Linked DNA regions of Sus scrofa. The protein of the gene in region 2 interacts with the protein of the main gene of each other region in a pairwise test. Links are inferred from orthologs where the notes say so. Each region holds a gene or a part of one and is shown on either strand. Other genes may lie near its edges.

Region 1 (10,340 bases), on a different chromosome or scaffold from region 2:
GCTATGATTAATTAACTATAGTTTTTCAAAAACTAAGAAAGAAAGAGTAATTCTGAAAACCTGAACTCAAAGACCATGTGAAATTGAATGTGTTGCTTTGTTGTTTTCTCTTTCAGAAGTAATATGAACTTTGATACAGAACAATTTTCTGTTTCAGAGGGGTTCTCCCTGTTTGAAAACAATGTTATTAGTCTTATGTAGACTTTAAAATTGTGCACTGATAAACTTTCTTCGGAAGTTAGTCCTAAAAATTTACTATTGTGTGATGGGACATTTTAGCATAAAACAAAACTTAATAGGAATGAGTGAATAATTGTATTTGCTATAATTCGTGATGTGTTTTTTAACATATGAATTAAGGGCAAGGTTATAGCAGTTGTTACGGTGGACTTTGAGTTTATTTTCTCTATCATTCTCCATGATAACCAAATCATATTTAATAAAACTTTGTGAATGTAAGAATGGCTCACTATTAAGCTATATATATATGTGCTTGTGGGTATAAATGTGTGTGTGTGTACACACATATATATAATCTATTGTGTATTGATAGGTCAAAGGAGAAAAACTGAGATTAACTCATTAGATGGTAAGAAAATCTTCTAAAGAAATTTAGTGTCCCTTTTTTTTAACCAGCAAAATAGGAATAAATAAATCTAGCAACATAGGCATAAGAAACTTGCTTACTGTAATTTTTTTAAAATCTTAAATCTACAAATGAGAATTATACTTAAACATTAGAAGCATTGCCAAGAGAGTTGAGAAGAAGACTGCTGTGCTTACATTATCACTATTTAACATTTCATCATTTTTTGTCTTTTGTCTTTTTAGGGCCTCACCCATGGCACATCGAAGTCCCCAGGCTAGGGGTCGAATCAGAGCGCAGCAGCTGCCTGCCTACACCACAGCCACAACAACGCAGGATCCTAGCTGTGTCTGAAACCTATACCACAGCTCACGGCAATGCCAGATCCTCAACCCACTGAGTAAGGCCAGGGATCGAACCCGAATCCTCATGGTTACTAGTCAGATTCACTTCTATTGAGCCATGACAGAACTCCTAGCATTTCATTGTTAAGTCCTAGTTTATGCAAAAGAGGAATGAAGTGTAAATATTAGAAAGAGCAGGTAAAATTATTTTTTGCTAATGGCATAATTCTTTACCTGCAGATTTGAGAGAATCAACTGACTCAAATAAAATAATTCAATAATGTCACTCCTTACAGAAGTAACACACTAAAATTTAAAAGCCTTTTCCCATATATGAACAACCAATAAGAAAATATAATGGAGGAGCCAACTTGTAACCATAGGAAAAAGTATACCAAAAGAAACATCAGAGGTCTATACATCTTTCTTTCTTCCTTCCTTCCTTCCTCTTCCTTTCCTTCCTTCTTTCTTTCTTTTTAGGGCTGCATCAATGACATATGGAAGTTACCAGACTAGGGTCAAATAGGAACTATAGCTGCCGGCCTACACTACACCCACAGCAACACGGGACCCAAGCCAAATCTTCAGCCTGTGCTGCAGCTCATGGCACTGGGTCCTTAACCCACTGAGCAGGGCCAGGGATTGAACCCAAGCCCTCATGGATACTAGTCAGATTCATTACTGCTGAGCCACAATGGAAACTCCTATACATCTTTTAAAGATCCATAGAGATCAAAAGAGGAGTTCCTGTTGTGGCTCAGCAGCTTACGAACCCAACTAGTACTCAGGGTTCCATCCCTGACCTCTGTCAGTGGGTTAAGGATCTGGCGTTGCCATGAGTTGTGGTGTAGGTCACAGACAAGGCAATCTGGTGTTGCCTGGCTGTGGCGAGGCCTGCAGCTCCTGTTCAGCCCCTAGCCTGGAACTTCCAAAGGGTGGGTACTGTCCTAAAAAGAAAAAAGAAAAAAAGAGAAAGTATACCATTTAGAAATTTGACTCAAAAAAATTTGTAGGAGACTTGATTTTAAAAACCACTGAGTAATAAATGATAATGTTGGGACTAGGAAGACATACCTTATTCTTGAATGAGAATATTTTATATTTTAAATGTATCAAATGTCCCCTAAATTAATCTGTAAATTTAATGCAGTTTCAACTAGAACGCTAACAGATTCTTTTTTTAAACAAAATAATCTGGAAAAAATAAGCATGAGAATTTTCAGGAAAATCTGGAAAGACAGCAATACTAGGTCATAAAAATCTGTTAAAAATATAAAGCTGCCCTAATAAGATGACATGTTATAGTGTGAATTAGAAAAGAATAAAGCTCACAATACCTATGGGAAATGATGGGGGCTCTACAGTCTGGTGGCTAAGAGCCTTGGCTCTGGATTATACTTGCGTTTAAGTCGCTTCTCTGCTTGTCCCTAGCTCTGTGACCTTAAACAAGTTAACTTGCTAAGCTTCCTTTTCTACAGCTGTCAGCTGGGTATGATGATAGAATCTGCAGCTGCTAAATGAGATTATATACCTAACACACTTAACGGTACCTGTTCCATGATATATATTCAGTATTTGTTGTCAGTAGCAGGTGTAGAATGTGTTAAAGGTAGCTTGTTATGTCAATTGAGAAAAGATAGATTATTCAGTAATTATTATTGGAAAGAAAGATTTTAAATAAGATAAACCATATAAATACTATTAGAAAGCATAGGTGAACTTTTTTTCTCTCATAAATGACAGACAGCTAATTTCCTTAATGTGTTAGAAAGCACTAAAAAAGATGTACTACTAAGTAGTAAAATGATCAAAGTAAAAAAAAAAGTATGTTGCTGTCTAATTTATTATGAAATCAAGGAACAAGCAAAAACTAAGAAAGTGACTGTTGAGTTGGAAGAGGGAATTGATTTGAAAGTAGCCTGTGCAAACCTTGTGGACTGAGGGGAATGTTCCATATCTCAGATGGTTATAGGGGAATTTACAACTGTCAGAGCTTACTGACCTGAACACTAATCCATGCATTTTATTGGGAGTTAATTGTACTTGAGGTTTTTTTGTTTGTTTGTTTTTGTCTTTTTGCCTTTTCTAGGGCCGTTCCTGTGGCATATGGAGGTTCCCGGGCTAGGGTCGAATCGGAGCTGTAACCGCCGGCCTACACCAGAGCCACAGCAATGCAGGATCCGAGCCACGTCTGCGACCTACACCACAGCAACTCTGGATCCTTAACCCACTGAGCAAGGACAGGGGTCAAACCTGCAACCTCATGGTTCCTAGGCAGAGTCGTTAACCACTGAGCCATGATGGGAATTCCTGTACTTGAGTTTTATTTATTTATTTATTTATTGTCTTTTTGCTATTTCTTTGGGCCGCTCCCGCGGCATATGGAGGTTCCCAGACTAGGGGTCGAATCGGAGCTGTAGCCACCAACCTACGCCAGAGCCACAGCAACACCAGATCTGAGCCACATCTGTGACCTACACCACAGCTCACGGCAACACTGGATCCTTAACCCACTGAGCAAGGGCAGGGACCGAACCCGCAACCTCATGGTTCCTAGTCAGATTCGTTAACCACTGCCACGACAGGAACTCCTGTACTTGAGTTTTAAAGATTGAAAAACATAATCCAAAGCCATGAGCATATTCACAGAAAAAGAAGTCTAAATGAGGTATTAAATATAAATGATGCTCTGCTTTCCACCTAATTATGTAAGTTAAAACAACAAGATGCCAGTTTTTTTAACCTATCATAATTGAAAATGACTTACAAATTTAATAACATCCGGTGATGAAGGGGAATTTTAAAAAGATAGTGTAGGAGTTCCCTTTGTGGTTCAGCGGTTAACGAACCCAACTAGGATCCACAGGGATGAGGGCTCAGTCCCTAGTCTCTGCTCAGCAGGTTAAGGATCCGGCATTGCCGTGAGTTGTGGTGTAGGTCAAAGACGAGGCTTGGATTTGGCTTGGCTGTGGTGTGGGCTGGTGGCAACAGCTATGATTCGACCCCTAGCCTGGAAACTTCCAGATTTCGAGGGTGTGGCCCTAAAAACAAACAAACAAAAAGAATAAAAAGGATAGTGTAAACTGGCATGGGCTTTTTGAGATGGATTTTAGATGACCTTACCTGTCGATTATATATTTCACCTCTAGTACATTTCCCTGATGATAGACTCAGAAAGATGTGTTGAGAGATGTTCATTGTGTTGTTATTTAAAACAATTCAAAATGTGAACAATCTAAACTGCCACCAAATTGAGTGTAAACTGAATTATGGATCACTTTTATGTGATGTGCAACCATTAAAAAGGGATGAAGTTCATAGAGCTGTATGAATGAACTATTATAGAAATTATAAGTGATTAAGATTCCATTTAAGTTAAAATGATAGAAAGTTACTTAAAGAATATACAAGAAATGGTAAACACTGGTTTTGAAATATTCCTTCTTTTTTTTTGTTTTTGTTTTTGTTTTGTTTTAGGAAAATGTCTGATGAATTTTCGGTAAGTTGATGTATTTATTCTTCATAGGTTTTTGGCTCTTAGGAAAAAAAGGCGTGGTCCTGATTGTGGGCCATAAGTTTAAGAGAAATAGCTTTTGTGATCCTTGGATTTTTTTTTTTTTTTTTTTTTTGGCATGTGATTTTGATAGATGATTTGCCTTAATTTACTTAGCTTTAATGTGTTTGAAAATGCATTCTGTCTGTTTATTTCTTTATAACTCCTTAAAGTGTTAAGTCTGTCCTCTTATCCTGATGTTAATAATAGCCAACATCTGTTGAAAATTATATACCAGGCACTGTATTAAGTGCATTACATGAGTTATCTTGTTAAGCATCAAGTTAGCCCTAAGATACTGTTTTGAAAATGAGGAAACCCAAAGCTCAGAAAGGGTATATAACTTATTTGAACTAAAACCAGGATTCAGCTCACACTATGCTGATCAGCTGTATTTAGCAAACTTGAGTTTCTCTGTGGAATTTGCACTGTAAAACTGAAATTCAAGGTAACTCCTCAAATTTTGTATTAAATAAGTTGTTTTTAAATTGGCTTTTGAAGAATCCCTAAACCTTTATGGGTTTATATTCATGTTTGGCATTACTTGTCCCTGAATGAGATGAGTAAGACATGCTTGTTTTGTATTCCAGTTGGCAGATGCACTACCTGATCACTCCCCTGCCAAAACCTCTGCTGTGAGCAATACAAAACCTGGCCAACCTCCTCAAGGCTGGCCAGGTTCCAGCCCTTGGAATAACCCAAGTGCTCCACCTTCTGTGCCATCTGGACTCCCACCAAGTGCAACACCCTCCACTGTGCCTTTTGGACCAGCACCAACAGGAATGTATCCCTCTGTGCCTCCCACTGGACCACCTCCAGGACCCCCAGCACCCTTTCCTCCTTCTGGACCATCATGCCCCCCACCTGGTGGTCCTTATCCAGCCCCAGCTGTGCCAGGCCCTGGCCCCACAGGGCCTTATCCTACACCAAATATGCCCTTTCCAGAGCTTCCAAGACCATATGGTGCACCCACAGATCCAGCTGCAGCTGGTCCTTTAGGTCCATGGGGATCCATGTCTTCTGGACCTTGGGCACCAGGAATGGGAGGGCAGTATCCTACCCCTAATATGCCATATCCAGCTCCAGGGCCATATCCTGCTCCTCCTCCTCCCCAAGCACCAGGGGCAGCACCTCCTGTTCCATGGGGCACTGTTCCCCCAGGAGCCTGGGGACCACCAGGGCCATATCCTGCCCCTGCAGGATCATATCCCTCACCAGGACTCTATCCTGCTCCCAGTAATCCTTTTCAAGTGCCTTCAGGACCTTCTGGTGCTCCACCGATGCCTGGGGGCCCCCATGTGAGTGTTTAATTTGTTATTTAACATGTACTAATAGTCCCATAAGCACAAATGACAGATTGTCTCCAGTTTGGGATGGAAGATTAGAAAGCTTTTTAACCTTTTTAAAAAAAACAAAAACAAAACCAAAAAACTGTATATAAAGTAAGAGTAAATTTCAAGCTTCAGATGAACTTTGGGTAAAACATTTAAAAGGATGAAAGCACAAGTTACACATTCCTGATACTAAAAATAAGAAACTTCCCCAAAGACTGTACTGTAGTGAGCAATGTCCTCAAATAGCATTCATCGGGTAAACTCAGATGTATTTCATTGGACTTTTTAAAATTATAACATTTCTCAGTAATGTTTTCTAGTATCATAGCAAAGCACAAAGTTCAATAAAAGTAATCTCTGCCATTCTGGCTGGATATAGAGGTAGTTTGTTTTTTTTTTTTAAAGAGAATCCAAGGCAGTGAATGTGTGATGTCGCCCTTCTTTGATACAACTGCCTGTAGTGTTTCTCGGTCAAGGTTTTGTTAGATCCTTAGCAGCGTTGAGCTCCAGGTTATACCACTCTTCTGCTTTGCCAGTTATATATAATGCCATATGCTTTACTGTCAGCCAGGCTAGAATAGGGTTGATACCTTAGTGGAGGACCCTGTCTCAAACATATGACCAAATAGAAAAGCACCCTGTTTCCCCGTGAACTGAGCCAAGCCAGATTCTTAGGGGGAAAAAAAATCTATTTATTCTTAACAAAGAATGAATCATATCTCCAACCATATTAATCAGTCATCCACTTGAATTGTAATGGAAAAAAATCTTAAAGGGCCCTCAACTTCTTTTCATTAGTTTAAGTTGCTATTATATAGTCTTTAAAAATTTTTTTTCTAAATTGTATGCCAGAATAAGTGATGATTTGCCGTTTGGATTTATTAAGCAATAAATAAATTTTATTTTAAGCCACAGCAAGGAGTTAGTAAACTCCATTTACGAAATCTAGAAGTTTACTTTTTCTTTTTTCTGTTGCAGTCTTACCATTAAGTTAACAATGGACGAAGAGATGACGCTTTGCTTTTTGAAGTACATATATATATGCACATGAATGCATATATAAAAATTGCTGTTTCACTATTCTTAGAGGGCATTCATGAAAGAACACCTCTTGCACCTCTCAGAAGATATCTGCCTCTTGTGCTTGGATGTTTAGTACATCTGATGGATATAATCAGATAAAAATGTAAAAGTAAATCATTCAAATGTGATTTTTATTCGGTTTTTATGGAAAGTTAAAGTTAATAAGTATATTGAATAGCTCTTTGATACAGTTGTTTAAAAGAAGTTTTCGATTTGTTTAAATTATGAAACTGAACACTTATATAATCACTTTTTCCCGTAAATAAACACACTTTGAAAACAATCACATTGTCATAATTTAAACAAATGATGCCTCTCAACATCTTGAGCTGCTCTATCTATAGGATAAATAACCTGGTCCTCTTGAGGTTATATTTTGGATATAGATTTTAATACTATTGGTAATTATTGTCAGATGTTGAGTTCATTTTTATCCTTGAGCTTTTAGTAAGAACTTTTCCTTCATTTTGACTTCCACCTGATTTGTTTTATTTTTAGCCAGATGGGTTGTAACAACTCTAAAATCTGCCCTTGATGGAAGCTAACTTTTTTCCTTAATGCAGGCCAGCATGTATGTCAATTATATTCTGAGAGCATTGGTGATCTCTTTGTATTGCTTAGAACAGATTATTTTGAGATGTCCATATTACTTTGGGAAGAGCTCAAGGAAGAAACTAATTCTCCTTCATCTGAATCCACACGTAGAGGAGACCCTGAGAGTTGCTTTATGGTAACAAATAATTTGCATTCCCACAGGACACTCTTCTACAGGACCTTCCCTGTAGCCCCCTCTTCCTCAGTTCTTTAGAAGGAGCACAGCCTTTGATTCATCCCTGATACGGAAAACTGGCACACTCTAGGGGTCTGTCACAAACACACAGATGTTAATGTTTAGAGAACCTTCGTCATACAGACGAGCAATTGAAATATGTATGTCTCTCAGAGTCTGGTTAAGCTATGTCGTTGTCAATTGCATAGTTTCCTGGATCTGTTTGTAAAGTGCTTATGGCTAACAGTTCAGTTCTGTATTTTTTGACAGGTAAATAGGTAGAAGAATAAGTGCCATCCTTAAAAATTATTCTCTAGCTCTAACAATAATAATAAAGTGTAGATCTCTGCAATTGAGTTTAAAGCATTGTGACTGTTACTTAAAAATAAGTGTTGTTTGTAACCTTCAAAGTAGCTTTTTGGCACCTTACCTTAAAATCACATTTTTAGATTTGGGATATAACTGACCATGTTATTTGTCAAATAACATTTTGAAATTTTGAATGTATCCATTGGGTTACTAAAATGTGAATTTCTTGAGCAGTATATGAGAGATTTATGCTGGAGCTCTTATTTTTGCTTAGAAATAAAATAATTTAGTAGTTTATTTCCCTTATAGTTAAAAATGTCAAGAATGCCAAATGCTGCCAAGTTAATGGTTTGATAGCTACCTCCTTTTTAAGAAAGCAAGATTGCCACCTTTGAGAGAAGTATTCAGTTTAGGCCTCCCTTTTAAGTGGATGACAAATTCAAGCTTTCAGAATTGAAACTAATTTGTTTAGATATTTTCAGACTGGGGAATGTTAGCCAGCTCTTTCGTAGTGGCAGTCTTTTATTCTTGCACTTCTCTGCTGGGACAAGTGGCAGCTATCTACAACACTCTTGGAATCTGTTGTCAAAGTATCCTTCAGTTTATAAGGCAGTAGCCTAAGAAGGTGTCAGAGCTTAAATTATCCATCTGTTTCATAATGTCTATCATAATGTCAGCTAACTCTGGAGGGGTGATAGGAACAGTGAGATGGCAGCAAAGATATCTCTCCTTTTGGTTATTTTGGTTGCCCCACATTGTGATAAGTGGACAACTCTGGCTTTAAATAAAATAATTAATGTAACACTAGAGAGGATAATGTCTGACTAAAAGAAAAAGAGGTAATGAGTTTGGGAATCTGTAATTGTGGAGTCCATTTATGATTGGAGAAAACCTTCTGCTCAAGGACTTGAAGGGCCATGACTACAAGATTTGGAATTACTATCCCTTATAAGTATATTAACTTTGCTGGCGACCCATACTGCCAGTGTGCCCTAGAGGACACTGCCATTTTAAATTTTGCGTTTCAAGTATCTTCTAAGTAATATTTGGGTTTGGTTGGTTTTTGTTTTTCTTTTTTTTTTTTTTTTTTAATGTAAGAGTGGAAATCAGAGGGAATAAGTTTGCTTTTACATTATTTTTAATTCTTTTAAGCATCATTTCTCAACTTGGAGAAGGGGCAACTCAATTCTTGTGGGTACTCTGGGGCAAAAAGTATTTTTAGGTTCAGGGCGGAGTTTTAAGGGTGGAATGGAGGAAAGCATCTAAGAAGGTTTTTGTCTTTACAAGGGAATAACATTGCTTTTAAAACAAGTTGTGCTAGGCTGAGATTGGTTTGTAGAAGAGACTGCTTGTTAGAAAGTATGTTTGGTCTTAAGGGAATTCGAAGTATGGAATATGCTGGCATTTGGACTTTCAGAGCAAGAATTTTAAGATAAATGTGATGGAGATAGTTGAGATATGTTGAGGAATAGTGTTTCTGGAATTAGGACTTTACTTAGAGTTTGAAACATTGAACCTAAAAATGACACCAGAAAATTCAAATAGAGACCGTTAGGTCCTCATTCACACACTCAGTCCTCAGGAATCAGGACTCCTGAAAGGAGTACTTACAATGCCTGGCCTGTCTACTGGACTCCGCCCGACACTTTTGCGCTTTTGAAGATGGCTGTTAACAGCTCTGACTCCACAGGCCTGTTTTCTGTAAAGTATGATATTGATTATTTGGGCATAGACAATACATTTTTTAATTCCCCAAAGGCTTTCCTTCTTTGCCATTTACAGTTATTGTTTTCAGTAGAGAATAATAAAAGGGCAGAGAAGAAAGAGGTGAGTTTTTGGCCTTGGTCCTCACTTTCTAGGAAAGAAGTTGGTTTTGCCCCTCATACTTTTACCTCACAAATAATTTGAGCTACCTATTGTACTCAGATGTACAGTTTTTGAAATTATTCGTGTACATCAGCATAGCTCTACTCAGAGTTTCAATTTAAATACCATGCCAAGTTTGCATATCAGTCAGTTGCCTACACTTCTAAATGATTCATGCCAGTGTCTTCCTTCCTCACCCTGAATAATCTAGTGCTAGATTTATAAAATGCCTGGTTTATAAACCTTGGAAATTAAACCTAAGCACAGACCTTCAAGTGTTCACGTTTTTGAGAAGCATAAGGCTTAATTCAGATGAATCACACTGATACACTGTACTATGCATAGAAAGTGGTGGGTGGCTTTCAGGGAAGACTATAATCTTAATAAAGCAATATTTAGTATTGAAGACAGATACTGTTCTTTTTATGTTTCAGAATTCTGCCAAGTAAAACAAAAATTGCCAATAAAATAATCAGTATTAAAGAAGTGCCATGCA
Region 2 (9,497 bases):
AACCACCAGAGGTAAAAGGAAAGAAACACAAAGGCCTGCGGCAGAAAATGCCTTGCTTGCTCCACTAACATGGCTGAGGTTGAGTAAGGGGGAGATCAGGCAGGTGAAGCTTGAAAACCAGGTAAGGAATCCAGGTTTTATTCTGAGTATAACAGAAGACTGCTGGAGAGATTTGGGGAAGGGAGGAAGAACAGGGAAATACAAGGTGAAAGCAGAAGTGCCAGCTGGGTGTCCACTCCATAGTTCAGTCAAGGAACACTGACTGAAGCGATAGCTTGAACCAGAGTGAAAGGAGGCGGGTGGGCAGGGGGTGGGGGTACAAGAACAGTGAAAACAGATTATTTCAAACAACTTCATTATTTCACGGCCACATGTAAAAGAATGAAATTATTACACTCCTTAACACCATACACAAAAATAAACCCCAAATGGATTAAAGACCTAGATATAAGACCAGACACTATAAAACTCTTAGAGGAAAACGTAGGCCAAACACTCTCTGACCTAAACCACAGCAACATATTCTCAGATCCACCTCTTAGAGTAATGACAGTAAAAACAAAAATAAACAAATGGGACCTAATCAAACTTAAGTTTCTGCACAGCAAAGGAAACCCTAAACAAAACGAAAAGACAACCCACAGAATGGGAGAAAATCTTTGCAAATGAATCAACTGACAAGGGATTCATCTCCAAAATTTATAAACACCTCCTACAGATCAATACCAAAAAAACAACCCCATCCAAAAATGGGCAGATCTAAACAGACAGTTCTCCAAAAAAGACATACAGATGGCAAAAAAACACATGAAAAGATGTTCAACATCACTCATTATTAGAGAAATGCAAAATGAACACCAATATGAGGCACCACCTTACACCAGCCAGAATGGCCAGCATCAAAAAGTCTACAAACAACAAGTGCTGGAGAAGGTGTGGAGAAAAAGGAACCCTAGTACACTGTTGGTGGGAATGTAAATTGGTGCAACCACTGTGGAAAGCAGTATGGAGATTCCTTAGAAAACTAAAAATAGAACTACCATTTGATCCAGCAGTCCCACTCCTGGGCATCTACCCAGAGAAAACCAAAAAACTCAAGAAGACACATGTACTCCAATGTTCAGTGCAGCACTATTTTCAATAGCCAAGACATGGAAACAACCTCAATGTCCATTGACAGAGGAGTGGATCAAGAAGAGGTGGTACATATTATATACACAATGGAATATTGCTCAGCCATCAAAAGGAACGAAATACCAGCATTTTTAGCAACATGGATGGACCTAGAGATTATCATGCTAAGTGAAGTCAGCCATACAATGAGACACCAACATCAAATGCTTTCACTGACATGTGGCATCTGAAAAAAGGACAGACTGAACTTCTTTGCAGAACAGATGCTGACTCACAGACTTTGAAAAACTTATGGTCTCCAAAGGAGACAGTTTGGGGGGTGGGAGGATGTGCTTGAGTTGTGGGATGGAAATCGTATGAAATTGGACTGTGATGATCATTGTACAACTACAAATGTAATAAATTCATTGAGTAATAAAATAAAAATCTGAAAAAAATTTATTTCAGAGTTGCCTCTATCAAAGAAAGTAACACTTCATGGACCTTTTAATTTCTTTTTTTTCAGGAAAATTTTATAACATAGGAGATCAGAGAGGCCATGGAGAAGATCACTGCCAGTTTGTGGACTCATTTTTAGATGGACGCACAGGACAGCAACTCTCTTCTGACCAGTTACCCACCAAAGAAGGTATGTTTTCTGAGCCTCCTCATAACCAGGAGGCTCTCATAAATTAACCCAAAAAGCATTCAAGCTGAGGAAGTAATCACTTTAAAATAATTCTGTAGTACACAACTTTATCTGCCTAGAAAGACTTCACAAAAGACCTTAATATAAAGACTTTAATAGAAGTTTCTCAAGTTTCCTCCCATTCCTTAAGCTGCTGTTCCTTAGAGCCAATGGAAATTAAACAGATTTACATAAATGCATTCTACTTCAGGAAAACCTAAATTTGCAATGTCAGCTATAAAAGTGCAGCATTTCCCAAACTTAAATCATTCATGTATTACCTTTATAGTTTTTGTCACACTGAGCACACAGTGTGACAGTTTTCTTTATTCCTTTAAAAAAGTTTTTTAAAGACAGCTTTACTACTTTGATAGAAGGAAAAAAAATATTATTTGCCTTATAAACAAACACAATTAAAACAGTTCTGCTGAGAAATGACTAACCACTGCAACTCGCTAAAGGCACATTAGCACCAAGCTGCTTAATGAGGATTGAAAGGACTGAAAACTGACTTAGCCCCCCTGCCCAGGCAGGGTAGGAGAGGATAAGTTAAATATCCATATTACTCAGGAATTACCAAGAGAGTTTATTTAAATACTTAAAATTATTTGATAAGTCTTTTGAGCAACACATTTTGTTCCCTAGTACTAAAAATACCAGGCATAGTAAAAGATGACTCAGTGAGATCTGTGTACTCATTAAGAGGAAGTAGAAACTGTTGCCTCAGAGGAAATGGATATAAAATATACTGTAAATTACACCTATTTCCATTTTACAGTCACAGCAAAAGCTTTTAATCATTTAGTGTAGGAAGAAAGATTTCACCAAAGTTTAATTCTTAGAAATTTAACAGTCTTAGAACTACCTTTCTTTTGTTTCCTAACATGTTAGTATAACACATCTTTACCAGGTCACTTCTTCAGAGCCCACCACTAGTCTGTGTACACAAAGTATACTTTCACGTACTGTGTGTACTGAACTTGGTCAATGACAAAACAAAAACTCTCCCAAGTCCTGCCTCTTGTCAGCTTTCTCTCTCAAACACTGCCCAGCATCCTATCCTGATATATTGCCAGCCCTTACTACTTCAGCAAAGACAGCAGTACCTCTGTTGCTATTCACTTTCTAAAATACTCTGTTCTACCTAGCATAAACTTTAGGCATTCGGTGACACCCTTCAATCTATGAGCAGTGAGGACAAAAATAAAACATAGCAGCTATTAAAATTAATTATTTTCCCTCTTAGGCTATTTCAGAGCAGTTCGCCAGGAACCTGTCCAATTCGGAGAAATTGGCGGTCACACCCAAATTAATTACGTCCAGTGGTATGAATGTGGGACCACAATTCCTGGAAAATGGTAGATGCTACAATCATGTTCAAAAGTGCCTTCTGTTTCAACATGGCAAAAAATAATTGGAAACAGTATGATATTTGTCACATGCATTTAAAGCTCTTATGTTTACTATGTATAAAAGTTTAAAATCTAATTAATAGCAGTATTAGATGTTTATTAGAAAGATTGCTAAGAATATTTATCAGGTTTTACAAAGTCATTTTAAAAAAGCAAGATATTGACATTAACAGAATAACATTTTTTGGGGAAGCTGGCTCCCTTTTCATGGTATTTTAAGAGATCATTGTATATTATTTATCACATTGTTGTAATGATGTTTTGAGATACTTTTATAACAAAATTAACATCAAAAAACTAATATACTTGTTAAAATATTTACTTTTATTGTGTATTCTTCCTACTGGTGAGTTAATTCCATAAATCTCTACTTAGTTTAACTTATTAGGTCAAATTATCTTCAGCATATAAATCTGGGAGGAAAAAAGTCCTAATATTTACTTGTTTATTTAAACTTCAACTTTTCAGCAACAGCTGAGTATCTCTTCTGAAGCGTTTAAATATAGCCACTCATGCTAATAATATTTCCTTAAATATCTGCAAGTTATGTGATTAAAATTTTGTTTAAATCAGTAAATTCATATTAGCTAAAAATGGAATTGAGAATTTGATATAGCATTTCAAGACACCTATTTTGTTCTTTCTCTACCCCGAAATATGTTAGTCTGAATTTTCTTTGTAAAACTATCCCTTTAAGCAGCTGTGTTCCTGCTGTTTTTAATTCAAATCAAGCTTTATGCAGAAACTGTAAAGTCTAAAGCACAAAAGGATAATGCATGATGAAATCCCTATTATTTTATAGGGTATTTACTATATTTTTAACACAGAAAATCTCTAGGAATGAATGTTACCAAGGCTGTTTTCATAATTCTATCTAACTCAACTCGTAATGAAAATCTCATTTTAATTTACAAAAGTAGTGTTCCACTTCATTTGGGGAGAGAGATGGGAATGTTGCATTGTTGCCCTCATTCTTAAAGGAACTTTCTTTGCATCCTTTCAACATGCTTCAATTTTATCAATACTACATTTTATGTTTTTCAAACAAGTATTAACTCTGCAATAAAGAGATGTAGTTTTTTTTTAAGACTGAGTTATCGCTGAATGGTTCACCTCTGTAAGGAAAATTCTAAGTTAGGATCCTCTCTTTGTATTTTTTAATACAGTATCTATTGTGTTTATGTATAATGCTAATCTATCTTTCCGTGAAATCCACTTTCAAGTTTCATTGGTTTAAGCCAAAGGACAAAATTCAACAGGACTGTGCATTTCTGAATAGAAAGGCATAAGATAAAATGTCTACATTTCAAGACCAAAACATCAATTTCTATTGCTTTTTTTCTCATGTCTATATAGTGTCAATGACTAAATTAAATTACAAGACCATTAATGGATTCAATCATCTTTATTAACCTATCAGTGTTACATTTTATACATAATATCTAGTTGTCTTTTCAAAGGAATCTACTTTAGTACATCATGTTAATAGTAAAAAGCCAAGTAAGATGACTGAACTTCAACCTAGCATTTTAATATCCTCTGGACAAGGCAAGCTAGAAAGTCAATCACTTTGCACACATTTAAGAGTAGTGTTCCAAAGTAACTAGGAAGCTGCTACACTTATTTTAAGCAAGGGAGGAAAAGAACTTTCATTTTGGTCTTTTTTTTTTTCCCAGCAAATTATACTCTCAATTAACAGCAACAATAAAAAATGCTCTGCTTTTTAAATTTCTGAACTTCAATACAAATTAAAATAGTAGTATTGGAGTCTTTTGGGAGGCAAAGAGCTAGCAGCTACAATCATCAGTGTAACTGAGCCTCTTTATCGGTAACCTGGTCCAGGTTGGGTATAGCCCTGACCAAAGGGAGGACGGCTACGTGCATAAGGGTTAGACCCACTTGGAAGAGGGGTCATGGTACTTCCAGGAGGTGGAGTAAAACCTGGTCTGGGCTGATAGGCCCCGGGTTGGCTTGGAGCCATTCCAGGTTGTGAGGCAGGGGCCACAGTGTAATTAGTAGGCTGGGAAGTCTGGGTAGTGTAAGTCTGTGGAGGGTAACTGCTCGCCTGGTACTGCTGTGGTGGTTGAGCAGGCATCTGCTGAGGCTGGCCAGAAAAGGCAGGAGCCGGTGCCTGGGAAGTTGGTTGCTGGCCATATCCCTGGAACTGCTGAGGTTGTTGGGGTCCGGTCTGCTGACTATAGCCTGCTGAAAAGGCAAAACATGCAGATCTTATTTTTTCTTTTGGTAAACATTTTTCAGAGAATTAGTCTTACGGTTATGGACCAAAAATGATGAGAAATTTAACAAACTTAATCCTGAGTACTTTTGTAACAAGTAGAGTAGTAGATTCCATATTTCAAGACCACATAGTATCAAAGAAGTGTTTTCCAGATAATTTCTTAAATCCTCTAAAACTAAAACTACTACATATATTCTTCTACTGCAACTTCTTCTAAACTATATAATCCCTGAGAGCAAGTGCCTATTCTAGCATAACTCCCAGTATATACAGTAGATGCTCAAATGATAAGTGTAGAAATTAATTCAAAAGCTAGTTATTAACCTGGTTTTGAGGGGAAGCCTTAAAACAGTACCAAATAAAAAAAACATTGTAGAGAATATTAAATGAAACAATAGTGCTACAAACATCTTACTGTGCTAATGAGATGCTTTAAGGTTTATTCACACTATAAAAACTAAGCCATTTAAGAATAAACATTAAGTGCCCATTTTCACAATTCTTAAAATCTTTTTTGCCTTTATAATTCAAACTTCTGGCTTAGCAGTAACAAGGTAACACATGAAAGCATATCATATTGCCCCACAAAAAGCAACATCTATATTCATTAGTTACTAGGATGTAAAATTTTGTAAAAGAAAAGGTCTGCTTCACTAAAAACTTTTATCTCTACCATGAAACACACCTGCAGCTACTTGCAATGAAACCTCTCCATTGACTGGAATCCTGTCAGCATTAAATACCAGATACATAAGAAAATTATTAAAATATGTACAACCCTGCATTAAAAAAAATAAAAAGGATTGAATGAATTTGAGTATATTCTGAACTCACCTTGAACCTGGGTTCAAAATTTACTCATGAAAGAAAGCTTTTTGACATAGTCCATGAATAAAACTGGAAAAGGTCACAGAGGGAAACTGCCAAACCAGCAGAGTGTCAAAGATGGTCCAATGTTACCACCACCAAGCAGAGTATTTAGTTGACTAGTTCCATATCTCCCAAATTCAAGTTAAAAGGACTAGCAGGATCAGAAATACAAAGATAATAATTTGAAAAGAACTAAACTTTACTCAGTGAAGACCCTGACTAAAATCATTAAGAGCAAGCTTAAATTTTAACAAGTAAATTAAATATCTAATGCATTTTACTCACGGTAATGTCTAAATACGAAACCAAAACTTTGAATGTCATACAATTTCTTCTATCCTCTACATAAATGTAAAGTGTTTTACTGTCTAAATTTTTGGAGAAACAGAAGGACTCAGCTTTTATACTGAAAATGCCTATTCAACTTAAGATCGTAACTGAAATCTAAACCAGCTTTTTAATAGAATCTTGGGACAACAATATCCTTAATTATTTCTCAAGAGAAGGGATAAACTCTATGGGCATATGATGTTGTTTCATTAGCAACCTACTAGTGTTTGATCAAAATGTGGCAATACCTCTATTATGTATACACTCTCCCTCCCACTGCCATCCTCTCCTTTGAAAAACAAAATGAATCAGTAACTTTGGTAAAAATGACAAGAAATGGTAAGAAATGGAAATTCTGTGGTTTTTTAAATAAATGAGTATTACAGGACAAGGAATCATATGGTCCACAAAGCCTCAAGTACTTACTATATAGCTTTTTATGGCAGAAAAGTCTGTTAATCCCTGGTCAAGGGTGGAGAACACAGAATGAGATAGCTAAGTAATCAACTGCAAAGTTGAGTGTACTGAATTCTGGTCTAGTTTCCCCAATGAATGGCATCAATACATCACAACTCTTTGAACCTTGGTTCCCAAATTCATAAAATGAGTGGATGGGCCAAGATCAGTGGCTCCCCAACCCTGGCTGCACTTTAGAATGACCTATAAAGTTTTTAAAGTATCAAAGCCCAAGTCCCACCCCTGACAAATGAAACAAGATCTCTGGGAGTAGAGCCCAGGCACCTATAACTTTTAAAACACACCTCTCCAGGTGATTCTAAAGCACAGCAAAGGTTGAAATTATCTGGATTAGATACCTAGCTCTTTTCCACTCAGATATCTATTATTTCTACAAATTGTGTAATTTGTAACACTGATTTTTCTTTAAAGGTCTATATCCTAAGCATAAACTCTCCCCAGTATTATAGTCCAAGTTAAAATTTCCACATAGTTTATATAATAAAAACTATTACCTACATGTTAAATCACTCTACAACAAATTAATCTGAATAAATTGCTGTTTGTATTAAAATATGTCCAACTCTGATGGTAGAACTTTATGATCTAGTTCAGAGGGTTGGCAAACATTTTTCTGTTAAAAGACTAGGTAGTAAATATTCTTGGGGGCTATGTGGTCTCTGAAACTTTTAACCCCAAAATTTATGCATTTTCATAATGGGTTTGAAGCATATTAAGAAAAAAAAAATAGAACACATGCTTGCTTTAATAGTTGTACCCTGTCATTTTTTATTGAGGAAAATAATCAGGCATTTTCAAGTCAGAGTTCCTTAGACTCACTGATGGCAGCTGTCTACTACATGGAGCTTTAATTTCAGATTTTTTTTTTTTTTTTTGTCTTTTTGTTGTTGTTGTTGTTGCTATTTCTTGGGCCGCTCCCGCGGCATATGGAGGTTCCCAGGCTAGGGGTTGAATCGGAGCTGTAGCCACCGGCCTACGCCAGAGCCACAGCAACGCGGGATCCGAGCCGCGTCTGCGACCTACACCACAGCTCACGGCAACGCCGGATCATTAACCCACTGAGCAAGGCCAGGGACCGAACCCGCAACCTCATGGTTCCTAGTCGGATTCGTTAACCACTGCGCCACGACGGGAACTCCTAATTTCAGATTTTTTGATGATACTTGAGTTGGTATTTATATTTAATGAGAATGTGTACAAACTCCTTTTAAACCAACACTCTAGATTTATACCTGGGCTCCAGTGGTTGTACTTACTAGTTATGATTACTGACCCCCATATAAGTTGCTTAATCTTTCCATACCTGAAATAGGGATTGCTCATGAGGTTGACTTTTCTCCCATTATTTACTGCCTTTTCTTTGCTCATTTTTGTATTGCAGAGTTAATCTAATTTTTAAAATTACAGTTGAAATTTTGATACTTAAATCTTTGACTGTAAACTCAGAGTTAAACACAAATTCTCAGATTTAACAAATGTAAAAACTGCCTGAATCTTAACCACAATGTTCAAAGCTATACCAAAGAGATTATTATGTTCTTAGTTGCCCGAATTATGTCTTACACATTTCTACTTTTATGGTCTGTTTCTGGTATTCCTACATACTTTGGGGGGATTTAAAAACCCATGTAGCTTAATTTGGTTCTTATTTAATAAGATCACCTCTTTCCATGTATGAGGGAACTGTGAATATTTTTTATAAGTATTAAGAGTACACTGGCATAATTAAAGTATTACATAAAAGGGAGGAAAAATACTGCATTTTTACAGCTTTAAGTCACCTAGCAATAAGTTGATCAAATCAGTAGGAGCGAGCTATGTATTAAAAAATTTTATACAAGTTATTAAAGAATCCTATGATTCTAAGTTTTACCTATCCACTGACAAACTGAAATGGTGACTTACAGTAAAATTTTTACGCAAAATATTTACAAATAAATAAAACAAATGTTATTTTCCCCAATAAATAAATACTTAATACCTACTATAACAGACAGGTCAAGGGATCAGGAGGAAAGAGTTAAAGTTTAATGAGTACAAAAACTGCTCCCTCCGGCTGCCCGCTCACCTGAATACTGAATACCGTACTGCTGTGGCGGCTGGGGCGGCGCCTGTGGCTGCTGAGTGCCATAGCCAGCCTGCTGCGGGTACTGCTGGTACATCTGACCTGAAACAGACAGGACGAGGAAAAGAGGTATGTTTAATTCAGCAGAAGAGAAATATTTTTAAGGCACATTTAATTCTCTCCCTATTCAAACACATGAACACACTGAGTACCAAGACACAACAACATGTCTGTTCCCCTTTCAATGTCTACGAAGAAGAGAAGAATGAACAATTTAGTAAGTGTGGCTACTCTGTTGTGGAT
Region 3 (11,010 bases), on a different chromosome or scaffold from region 2:
CCAGGGGCCAGAGGGGAAATCGCTGTGAGGAAACATCAAACTCATTTCCTCCGAGGACCACCAGGGAATCAAGCCTCACAGAGTCAATGATGCTTTCTTCACTTTTCTTCCTGAGTCAAGTTCACCCTACTCTTAGGGGATCCTACGACAGGCGAGGTTCGAGCTTTCATGATTTGAGTGCTTGTCTCCCTGGAGTTTGAAATTGCTGTATTTTCTTGGACCATGAAGAACCAGATGGAAGGCTGAATTTTATAGTCTCTTCTGTTACTGTGGTCAGCAAAAAAAAAAAAAAAAAAAAAAAATCCATAGATTTTGCTCCTAAGTTCGGGCACTGGGTAAGCTGAAGGGAAGGGAAGGAGCAGTGGATGCCCTCCCTCTCCCTTCAGGCAGCTCACTCACATTCCCGCCCTTATCCTCCTGTCTTCATTTCTTAGTGTATTTATTCCGGGCCTTGAAGGCAACCCACGGATCATTTGGATTGGCAGCGTCTCACTTGACGAGTTCGTTTCTTCCTTCTACTTTGTGCCAGAAATGGTACCAGGTTTGGGGGATTCACAGGCAAACTAGACATATATGCCTCCCCACCCAATGTCTGGGGGAGGGCAGAGGGTTCAACAAGCAGTTAAAATAAAGTGGAATGATGGGGCAGCACCAGGAGCCAGGGAGGCAGAGAGCTGAGACCTAACCTTGTCTGGACAGAGATCGATGTAGGCAGAGGGAACAGTATGAGCCAAGGTCCAGCCATGACTGAAGTCAGCACGCTGAGTGACGGGGGACAGTGCATGTGGCTGGAATGTGGGCTGTGCTCAGGGTGAGATCGGGGAAGCAAGGCTTTCATGTGAGGCTATGTCGAGCCAGGTTGGCCTGATGGGGAATTCCTTTTTTTTTTTTCCCCCCCTGTCTTTTGTCTTTTTAGGGCCATACCTGCAGCATATGGAGATTCCCAGGCTAGTGGTCAAATTGGAGCTGCAGCCGCCTGGCCTACACAACAGCCAGAGCCACATGGGATCTGCGCTGCGTCTGCGACCTACACCACAGCTCATGGGAATGCCAGATCCTTAACCCACTCTGCGAGGCCAGGGATCGAACCCGTGTCCTCATGGATACTAGTTGGGTTCATTAACCACTGAGCCACAACAGGAACTTCCTGATGAGGAATTCTTAATTTGAAAAACCCTCTGCTCTGTAAGACGGAAAAAAGGATGCTGCATCTTTATTCTGCAGAGAAAAATCTCCAAATTTGATGCCTTCTGGAATTTAAATCTTCTCTTCTGTCATAATATTTTCCCCTGTCACCAGAATTCAACAGACTCTATTTAGACTCTTGCTTCACATGTGGTCTGTTAACCCCCGATGAGCCTCGATCTTTTTGTCATTGTCCTGAATAGTTTACGGGAATTGAACTTATCAATGTACCTGCCATACAATCCCATAATGCAGGGGAGTGTGGCCAAATTGCCATGTCTGTTGTTCTCATTTTTCCGTTGGTTCTGTGGAAAGCTGCAAATCGCCCTCTGATCCAAAGCATCCAACTGGAATTTAAATTTTGGAACTGGATCTAGTCAGAATCAAAGAGACTTAATTCCTTAATAATTGAGTGGCTATTGGTCTTCCTTCTCTGTAAGCAACACTGGAGCTGGTGCTGAGCCAGGATGCCTGGGGAGAATGATGTGTCTCCAGGGGTGGCAATCTTTTCCAGTGGATGGGCCTTCCATTACCAAGCTCTGCTTTACCTCTAATGGGCCGAGCATGGGGCTTCCATGAGCTCCGGAAAGTGCTCTGTGCTCTAAAAAGAGCTGGAATCCACGTTTTCCCCTTTGGCCAAAGTTTAAACAAAAACAGGAACTTCTCCACCCACCTCTGTCTGCCTCAGGTAGCTAAGGTTTTGGAAATGAGTTGATTGTTTTTCAGTCTTTGGAAGATCTGCTCTTCATTTTGCCCAGCCCTCTCCAAAATAAACACACCTGGGCCTGCTGCAGGTCCTCCGAGGCACAGCCCTGGACTTGGCTTTGGCTGGTCTCTGACTGCCTGAGAGATGACTTGGATACCTTGCCCCCAAACAACACAGACATCCAAGAGAACGTTCTTGTAAGAGCCCTTTGCTGAGCAGAGGGGGCTGGGGCGTGAACCTCATGGCTTAATCCCCGACACCTAGAACAGAGCCAGGCAAGTGGTGGGAACTCTGTAGGTTAATACATTTGTGGAATAAAATGAGCAAGCCTCACATTATCCCAGTTTGCCGGCCAGGTGTCACTGTTCTCTCTCCCAGAAAATACCCCTTGACTTTCAGCCCAGACTATAGGACTTCTTTCTTTCTGAGATTTTGTAATTCATTTCCACCATTGCTTTGGATTGTGTGTGGTGGGGTGGGGTGGGGTGGGTTTACAAAGGCAAAAAAGGTAAGACCAGCTAACTACTAGGCACTGATTAGTTAACAGATGTGGACCTGGCTTCAAATCCTGCCTTCTCCATCCTCCCCCCACCCCCGCCTTTTTTTGGTCTTTTTGGGGCTCATGGCATATGGAAGTTTCCAGGCTAGGGGTGGAATCGGAGTCACTGGCCTACACCACAGCCACAGCAACGTGGGATCCGAGTTGAATCTGTGACCTACGCCACAGCTCACAGCATCACCAGATCCTTAACCCACGGAGTGAGGCCAGGGATCCAACCTGCATCCTCAAGGACACTAGTCGGATTTGTTTCCACTGAGCCACAATGGGAACTCCCTTCATTTCCTTTTGATAGCGGGGAAGACACTTAGCCTCTCTCAGCCTCAGCTCCTCATTATAAATGGGTAAGAGTATCCATCTCAAAAGATTGTGGTGAAAATGAAACAACACATTGTACTTAGCACAACGTTTGGCACCTAGTAAGCATTCAATACAGGATACTACTACTATCACTACTACTACTATTACTACTAACAACTAACTACTAATACTTATTGAACTCATGCCAGGCACTGTTCTAGGCACTGGGGATAGAGGAGTGAATAAGAAAAGGACAATCCTACAATACATGGACACTTTAAAGGGACAATTCAAGCAATGGCAAGTGCTATGAAAAAATGAGACATAATGATAACCATAAATGACTAGAACGTGTGGAGAGGCAATGCTACTTTAATGTTCCCCTCCAGGAGGTGATATCTGAACAGAGGCCTGGATGGCAAGGAGGATGTAGCCAGTGAAGTGCCAAACGAAGAGCATGCCAGATAATAAAGAGCTAACTGCAGTTCCCGTTGTGGCTCAGCAGAAATGAACCTGACTAGTGTCCATGAAGATGTGGGTTTGATCTCTGGCCCCGCTCAGTGGGTTAAGGATCTGGCGTTGCTGTGAGTTGTTGTGTAGGTCACAGATGCAGTTAGATCCCAGGTTGCTATGGCTGTGGGATAGGTCGGCTGCTACAGCGCTGATTGGACCCCTAGCCTGGGAACTTCCATATGCCACAGGTGTGGCCCTAAAAAGCAAAACATAAAAAAAAAATTATTAAAAAGAGCTAATCCAAAACCTAGAGGTGAGAATGAGTTTGGTGTGTTCCAAGGGTAGAGACCAGACCAGCACAGCTGGAGTCACCTGAGAACTACAGTGGCAGCAAGTAAGGCTGGAGATGCAGACATGGTCTTGGTTACAGAGAGACGTGAAGGTCATGAGGGTGAATTTAATTTTCTTTTTTTAATACTTAAAGTGTGTAACTTTTATTTATTTATTTACTTTTTTTTTTTTTTTTTTTTTTTGGCTGTGCCTGGAGTATACAAAAGTTCCCTGGCCAGGGATGGAACCCAAGCCACAGTGGTAACCACAGCCACAGCAGTGACAACATTGAGCTCTTAACTGCTAGGCTACCAGGGAACTCCTAGATTTTCTTATAAGAGTTACTGGAAGTCTCTGGAGGAGTTTAAGCCCAGGAATGACATAATATGATTTACACTGAAGACAATCACTCTGGCTGCCCTACAGAGTAGAATGTGCAGGAAAGAGTGAAAGCAGGAACATCAATCAGGATGCTATGGTCATGATCCAGGCCACAGATGATGATGTCTTGGACTAGGGTGATAGGACAAGCTTGCTGAAGTTTTTGAACTAGAGCACACAGAGATGGGAGAGCTTGCATAGAAATAGAAGCCCCACAAGAATGATCCTAGTTTCTGGCCTGAGAGATGGGTGAATTTTCTGAGATAAAGGAGAGGAATGTTGGGGGAAATATCAAAGAGAACTCTTATACAAGATAGGCTAGAATATAGCACAGTCACAGTACCAACTGCAAAGGGAGGCAGGCAACAGAGTGACTAATTCTGGAGCTAGGGGAATGTGGGAGGATTAGGTGGAGGATGGGATTGGAACTGAGCTTTGAAGGACTGGAGATGGGAGGGCTGCTCGTCCTGTGAAAGTAAGTCTGGGCATAAGCAGGTACCATAAGCTCATTTTTCAGATCTCTTTACATATTGGTTTCTGACAGCTGAGGAAACTAAGACTCAGAAGTTAATTAACTTGCCCAAGGTCATGAAGTTAGAAAGTGGTAAAATCAAGATCCCCATTTCAGAGAAAGTGGGCTGGGTGGTAGAACTGAACATAGCAGTACAGCACAGCAGTCAGTGGCTATTGGATAAGACTGCAAAGGTCAGGTTGGGCCAGACTGTGAAAGGCCTGTGGTGCCATAATGAAGGGGCTGGGCAGGTAGAGGAGCCACTGCAGACTTTTCAGTGGGCTAGTAGCATGATCAGCACTGTAATTCTGGAAAGTGCCTGGCTAGATAGTTAGATAGATGGGCTGGAATGGACAACACCTTGTAACACTATTAATGAATTTATTTTAAAAAAAGGAGTTCCCGTCGTGGCGCAGTGGTTAACGAATCCAACTGGGAACCATGAGGTTGCGGGTTCGGTCCCTGGCCTTGCTCAGTGGGTTAAGGATCCGGCGTTGCCGTGAGCTGTGGTGTAGGTCGCAGACGAGGCTCGGATCCCACATTGCTGTGGCTCTTGCGTAGGCCGGTGGCTACAGCTCCGATTGGACCCCTAGCCTGGGAACCTCCATATGCCGCGTGAGCGGCCCAAGAAATAGCAAAAAGACAAAAAAATAAAAATAAAAAATAAAAAAATATAGAGGCCCTGTGGATATTATGACAAGCAAAACCAGACACAATCTGTGTCTACATGGAAGAACTAACAAATTAGTCAAATAAGCATGCAAAAAGGTGGAATGCCTGAACCACCAAGAGGCAAGTACATGACTATGAGGTCACTTAGTAACTAGAATTTTATCTACCTTCGAGACGAGTCAAGACTTCCCTGATGAGCAATGTGGCATCCATTGACCCCAGTTCTAGGCTACCCTCTGCCTCTAACCCACAGTGACTAGGACAAGTCATTGCTTCTTCGGACCTCAGCTTCCCCACTTATCAAAGAAGAGGCCCTAGATCTAATTTCCCTCCCACTCTGCCGCTTTGGAATAGCCTCACCAAATACCATAGATCCCACTCCAAAGCTACTAACTGGCACGTGGTGTCTTGACATTAGAACGAAGTACTTATCGCCCGTAGCCTCTAGCCTTCCCTGGAAGCTTGGGTCTGTTCCCTGTTGCCACGGCAACCGCCCGGGCCTTTCTCCGGGGAAAACTTGGAGTGACGACAGCAACTACGCCACTACCATGCGTCCCATCTGCCAGGTTAAAACATGGCCACCACTGTAACACTCCACCTAAATTTCTCTTTAAATACGTGGGACTGACCAGTTCTGGGGCCTACTCTAGGGCAGAAAATTTAAGAACTACTGCGCCAGTACAGGAAACATGATTCCGGAAACTGACATAGGAGCCTCAGCTCCTCCATCTCCTTGGGAGGCACCTGACCACCTCCCTCTAGCGTCACTTCCGTCGACCTTTGCGCCCAGGATTGATAGTCAGGTACATCCAATCAGAATAGGGCACACCCCCAGGCCCAGGAGGAGGCGGATTTGAGACTGGGAAGCCCCGCCCCCCGCCGACGTGTGACGTCAGAGTCGCCATGGCCAGCTATCCATACGGGCAGGTGAGTGTGTAAGAGGTGGGCCAATATAGGTAGAAGTCTCGCCAAGTCCTGGCCAGGACCCCCAGCTTCGCTTTCTCCCTGCATCCTCCGCGCTTTTCCCACGCAGGGGGCGGTGTCGCGCAGGAGAGAAGGGAAACGGGATGGTCAGTCGCACCTGGCTCACGTCACGCAGGACTGCACGTTGGGGAGGTCGTGTCGCGCCCCCTGTGACGTCGTGCACGCGAAGATTTGGGGCTCCTAGACCCCACGGAGTCAGGCTGCGCTTGGCCTGCGCTCCCTCTGGGGCTCCGGGCGGGGTCATCAACGTCACCGGAACGTTCAGAGCACTGGTTCTGTCGGTATCCTTTGGGGCGTCAGATTAAAATACACCCCTGACGTACTGGTTATTCTCTGAATAATCAGGAGAAACTGTGGTTTAGTAGGTTTTAGTATGAATGAGCTTGTTTGACTACTGAGTTAGTCCAGTACCTCCACATTTGACACACAGGAAAAGTGAAACCCAGAGAGGACATGGAATTTAGTCACCAGGGAGTTAGGTAGCAGAACCCAGGGCTGTCAGCAAATGCCTCTTACCTACTTGCCAGCCCATTTGATCCTGCCAAGAACACTACAGCAGGGTGATTCTGTGGCCAGAATCCGTTGGTGGATGACAGGAGTGGTAGAGTGATGAAGTGCAGTTTGGAGTCAGAGGAAGATTCACACCTTGGCTCCATCCCTTAAATAGTTTTGAGTCTTTGAGCAAAGTACTTTGCCTTTTTGAGCTTAAGTTTCCTCCTCTGTAAAACAGGGCCAAATAATGTCTACTTCATAGAGCTGGTATGAAGAATAATGAAATGATGCTTGTAAAGCATTTGGTACTACTAAGAGTGTAACAGGTGTTACCTTTTAGTATTTTGATTTTTATTAGATTCCTAGAAGGTCAGTGTTGGGAGGACCCTCAAAAGAGTCTCTTCATTTTATTTATTTATTTATTTTTCGGTCTGTTTAGGGCTGTACCCGTGGCACATGGAAGGTCCCAGGCTAGGGGTCGAATCAGAGCTACAGGCACTGGCTTACGCCACAGCCACAGCCATCCATGTTGGATCTGGTCCACGTCTGGGACCTGCACCACAGCTCAACAAAGCTGGGTCCTTAACCCACTGAGAGAGGCCAGGGATCGAACCTTCGTCCTCATGGTTGCTAGTCAGGTTCATTAACTGCTGAGCCACAACAGAACTCAAAGAGTCCCTTCATTTTAAAAGGAGGGAAATGAAGCTCAGAGAGGGCTCCTGAGTTACCCAAGATCATGCTATTTTAGGAAATAAAACCCAGGAAGGCACAATTGGAAAATGAGGTCACATGGCTTATTACTAAATGCTGGACTGAGTATAATCACATACCAAAAGATGTGGCAAGAACTGTCTGAGAGAGTGCAGCCCTGTACGGTTTTTGCGCACAGTGTTTGGACATCCATGATCTCAAATCATGAAGGCCCTGAAAGCAGTCTGGCAAGGATTATTCCCCCAATTTATAGCTGAGGAATGAGCCCCCAAAAGTTAAGCGACTTGCCTAAGGTCACACATTAGCAAGTGGGGCAGGGGGCGAGGCCAGTGCTAGAACTTAGAGCTCCTTTCATCGCATTCCCAGCAGTGGTGGGAAATAGAGAAGCCAGCATGGGCTGGGGTCAGAAGGAAGTATAACCTAGCAGTGTTTCCCAAGCAAGTTCCATTTGCTGAGTCTTGTGAGATGTTAAGAAGTACTGCTGGTAAAGGAGTATTCTGTGGTAAAATAAGTTTGGGAAATTCTTCGGTATTAGGTATAACAGCTTAATAAGTTTGTTCACCACAGAGCATCTCAGAATTCTTAATTTGTTAATAGACGTAAATCTGGCAGAGAGGGATAGAATATACAGTGTTTCTTAAAATTTTTTAACCGTGGAACCCACCCCCGTTTTTTTTTTTTGTTTTGGCTAGACTAACAAAAGTTCTGGGGCTAGGGCTCCAACCTGAGCCATAGCAGTGAATCCTTAACCATTAGTCACTAGGGAACTCCTCGGCCCTTTTAAGTCTCATGCTAGGGGTCTAATTGGAGCTATAGGTGCTGGCCTACGCCACAGCCATAGCAATGCCAGATCTGAGCCGTGTCTGTGACCTTCACCACAGCTCACGGCAACACCAGATCCTTAACCCACTGAAAGAGGCCAGGGATCGAACCTACAACCTCATGGTTCCTAGTCAGATTCGTTTCTGCTGTGCCCGGACGGAACCCCAAGTCTCGTCATTTTTCGGTGACAATGTAGGGAACATTGTTTGGGAGGACATTGCCATGGTGCTTTGTTTCTCAGTGCATGGCCTGCATCAAAATCGCCTAGGAGGTTGTTTAAAAACACCACATTTGGGGGTTCTACCTCAGACCTGTTGTGCACCCAGGAAGGAGCCAAGTGTCTACATTTTAATAAGCTTTTGGAGGTAATTTGTATGCATCCTAGAAGCAGCAGCATAGAAATTTAGAACATGAACTTCCAGATTAGACAGACAGAACTGGGCTAGAATCCTAATTCTGCTATTTGTTAGTTAACACCCTTGAATAGATCATCTAAGGGCTCTGAGCCTCAGTTAACTCACATGCAAAAAGGAAGGAATAATACCTCATAGGGCTAAAAAGATGAAATAAAAGAAGATGATAAGGCTTGTAAGGAGCCTGGCACATTGCTGATACACAGTGCTTGCCAGTGTGGGGTGGCCTAGCTTTGCTACTGTGATTGCTATTACCATGCCATGCCGCCTGGGCTCATGCTCAGTGAAATATTGAAAAGGAGTACCGAGAGAAATGTGTCTTGAGTAGAAGAAGAAACATGCCCCCCCCCACACACACCCTCATTGTACCTTTGTCCTCCTATCCAATTCCTGGTCCACTGTGTTCCAAGAAAGGAAGTGGATTGTTTGAAAGCATCCATAGGCTCAGTCAGCATCACTTCCCTTCCACCCAGTACCTAGTCCTAGAGGATTCCAGCCTACTGTTAGGAGTCAGCACTCCTGTAATTTTCTGCTGCCTTCTGCCCCAGGGTCCTCAAGCATAGACTAGGGGTTGGAGGAGTAGAACTCAAGGACCCTTTGGTCCTGTGGGGGAGCCAGCCTGATAGATTTCAATGCTTGAGAGCCTGGTTTTTTGCAGCCAGAGAGATTTGGCTTCAAATACCTGCTCTGCCATTTTCTTGCAGAAATTTCTTACAGAAGTCTGAGTCTTGGGTTCCCCTTTTTAAAAATGGGTCATAAGAGTACCACCTCAAGGGTTACTGTAAAGATCAAATGAGATAATCCATGTTAAGGGCTTGGTATGGCATTTGGACATATAGTTAACATTCCAAGCGGAAGAGTAATGTAGATATGTAAGTTGTAGAATCAGTGTCATATGTATAAAATGGGACTAAGTGTCAGGCCAGGACAGGAGGGTACTTAACTGAGTCTTGGGTGGGAGGAAGGCTTCTTGATGGAGGTGACATTTAAGCCAAAAACAGAATCTCCATTAAGAGTTAGCTGGGTGAAGAAAGGCCAGTATTCTAGCAGAAGGAGTGGTATTCACAAAGACCAGGAAGCAAGTGAGAAAGGTGTGTTTTGGAAGAATTTAAGGAGATGAGTCTAGTTGTAGTGAAGCAAGAGGGGGAAGGGTAAGAAATGAAACCAGAAAGGTAGGTAAGGACCAGATCTTAAAGGGCCTGTGTGCCTTTTTGAGTGTGGACTTCACCCTAAAGGATGGAGTGCTTGAAGAGTGTTCTCACTTTCGTGCTTTGGGGCTGTGACCACGGGGCACTGTGAGGATGGGTTGAAGCAGGATAGACGAGGCAGGGAGACTAGTTTCAAAGCTATTGAAGAAGTCTAGGTGAGCCAGAGCAGTGATGTGGTGAACGTGGAGCTGGGAGGTGAATTGAGAAAACTTGGTACCTAATTGAGGTCACAGAGGGGAAGAATGAAAAGGTGTCCACAAAGGCACCAGGGTTTCCCTTCACTGCGATGGGAACACGGAGGAGGAGGAGATTCGGAAGGAAGGTCTGGAAGGTTGTTGGGTATGAGGGCCTGTGGCTCAGGAGAGATGGAGCTGGAGAGAAAGTATCAGCGAGTGTCAGCGGAGAGGTGGTAATTGAAGTCTTGGGACAGTTCTTGGCTCACTGTTTATTGACTGCAGGGTTCTGGCCTTTAAATATTTTAGGAGGGTCTGCTGGCACAAGCCACTCCTTCTGTCGTCTTGTGATTGTTTAACCCCTTAGCATGGGCTCTGTCCTCCTCCAGTGGGCTGGGGGGTAGCTCTGAACCAACAGGCTTGTCATTGCAACACAGACTACTCTTCCCCATCAGAACTCGCCGTGGACCAACCTTTGACACCTCTGAGCCTCCCAGGGATCTTGGGGGTAGACGACTGAGCCCTCAGAGCCAAAAGAAAATGTAGGAGCTTCTGGAGTTCTGTCGTGGCTCAGTGGTAGCAAACCCGACTAGTATCCATGAGGATGCAGGTTCCATCCCTGGCCCCGCTCAGTAGGTTAAGGATCCGGTGTAGATGTGAGCTGTGGTATAGGTTGCAGACATGGCTTGGATCCAGTGTTGCTGTGGCTGTGGTGTAGGCCAGCAGCTGTAGCTCCAATTTGACCCCTAGCCTGGGAACTTCCATATGCCGAGGTGTGGCCCTAAAAAGACCAAAAAAAAAAAAAAAAAAAAAAAAAAGAAAGAAGGAAAGATAGAAGTGTAGGACTTTCTGAGTAGATCATTTGGGAATGAGTGAGCTCCCCACCATTGGAGGAAAGCAGAGATTCCGGATGGTGCTATAGAGAGTCCATCATCCCCTGCGAGGTTGGGCTGGGAGATCTTTGGGATCTCTTAAATACTGTGGCTCTCGAATTGGATCTGGGTGCTAAGGTGAAAACAGAGTAAGATTCTTCTGAGTTTCCCTGATTTCTGGGCTTGAAAACTGTGAAAGATCATCTAATCCCGCCCTTCTCACATCAACCCTGTCCAC

What was found.
Region 1: the proteins of TFG (region 2) and MAPK1IP1L interact in binary tests that used the Homo sapiens proteins (3 or more experiments, as listed by UniProt). The two-hybrid records come from large-scale screens. The link is inferred for Sus scrofa from reciprocal best matches to the Homo sapiens genes TFG and MAPK1IP1L.
Region 3: the proteins of TFG (region 2) and PEF1 interact in binary tests that used the Homo sapiens proteins (3 or more experiments, as listed by UniProt). The two-hybrid records come from large-scale screens. The link is inferred for Sus scrofa from reciprocal best matches to the Homo sapiens genes TFG and PEF1.

Annotation. Positions count from the first base shown.
Region 1 is NC_010443.5:184,405,332-184,415,671, forward strand, and holds part of MAPK1IP1L (MAPK-interacting and spindle-stabilizing protein-like), read left to right. Parts: intron 1-4,407; 5' UTR 4,408-4,411; coding exon 4,412-4,429; intron 4,430-5,073; coding exon 5,074-5,781; intron 5,782-6,795; coding exon of another isoform or gene 6,796-6,807; exon of another isoform or gene 6,808-10,278; coding exon 10,279-10,293; 3' UTR 10,294-10,340.
Region 2 is NC_010455.5:158,286,491-158,295,987, forward strand, and holds the end of TFG (protein TFG), read right to left. Parts: intron 9,297-9,497; coding exon 9,198-9,296; intron 5,419-9,197; coding exon 5,036-5,418; 3' UTR 4,600-5,035; downstream 1-4,599. Other genes in the region: ABI3BP (target of Nesh-SH3), read left to right, coding at 1,640-1,762, 3,048-3,163. UniProt on the Homo sapiens protein: Plays a role in the normal dynamic function of the endoplasmic reticulum (ER) and its associated microtubules. Required for secretory cargo traffic from the endoplasmic reticulum to the Golgi apparatus.
Region 3 is NC_010448.4:88,165,237-88,176,246, reverse strand, and holds the start of PEF1 (peflin), read left to right. Parts: upstream 1-5,919; 5' UTR 5,920-6,000; coding exon 6,001-6,024; intron 6,025-11,010. UniProt on the Homo sapiens protein: Calcium-binding protein that acts as an adapter that bridges unrelated proteins or stabilizes weak protein-protein complexes in response to calcium.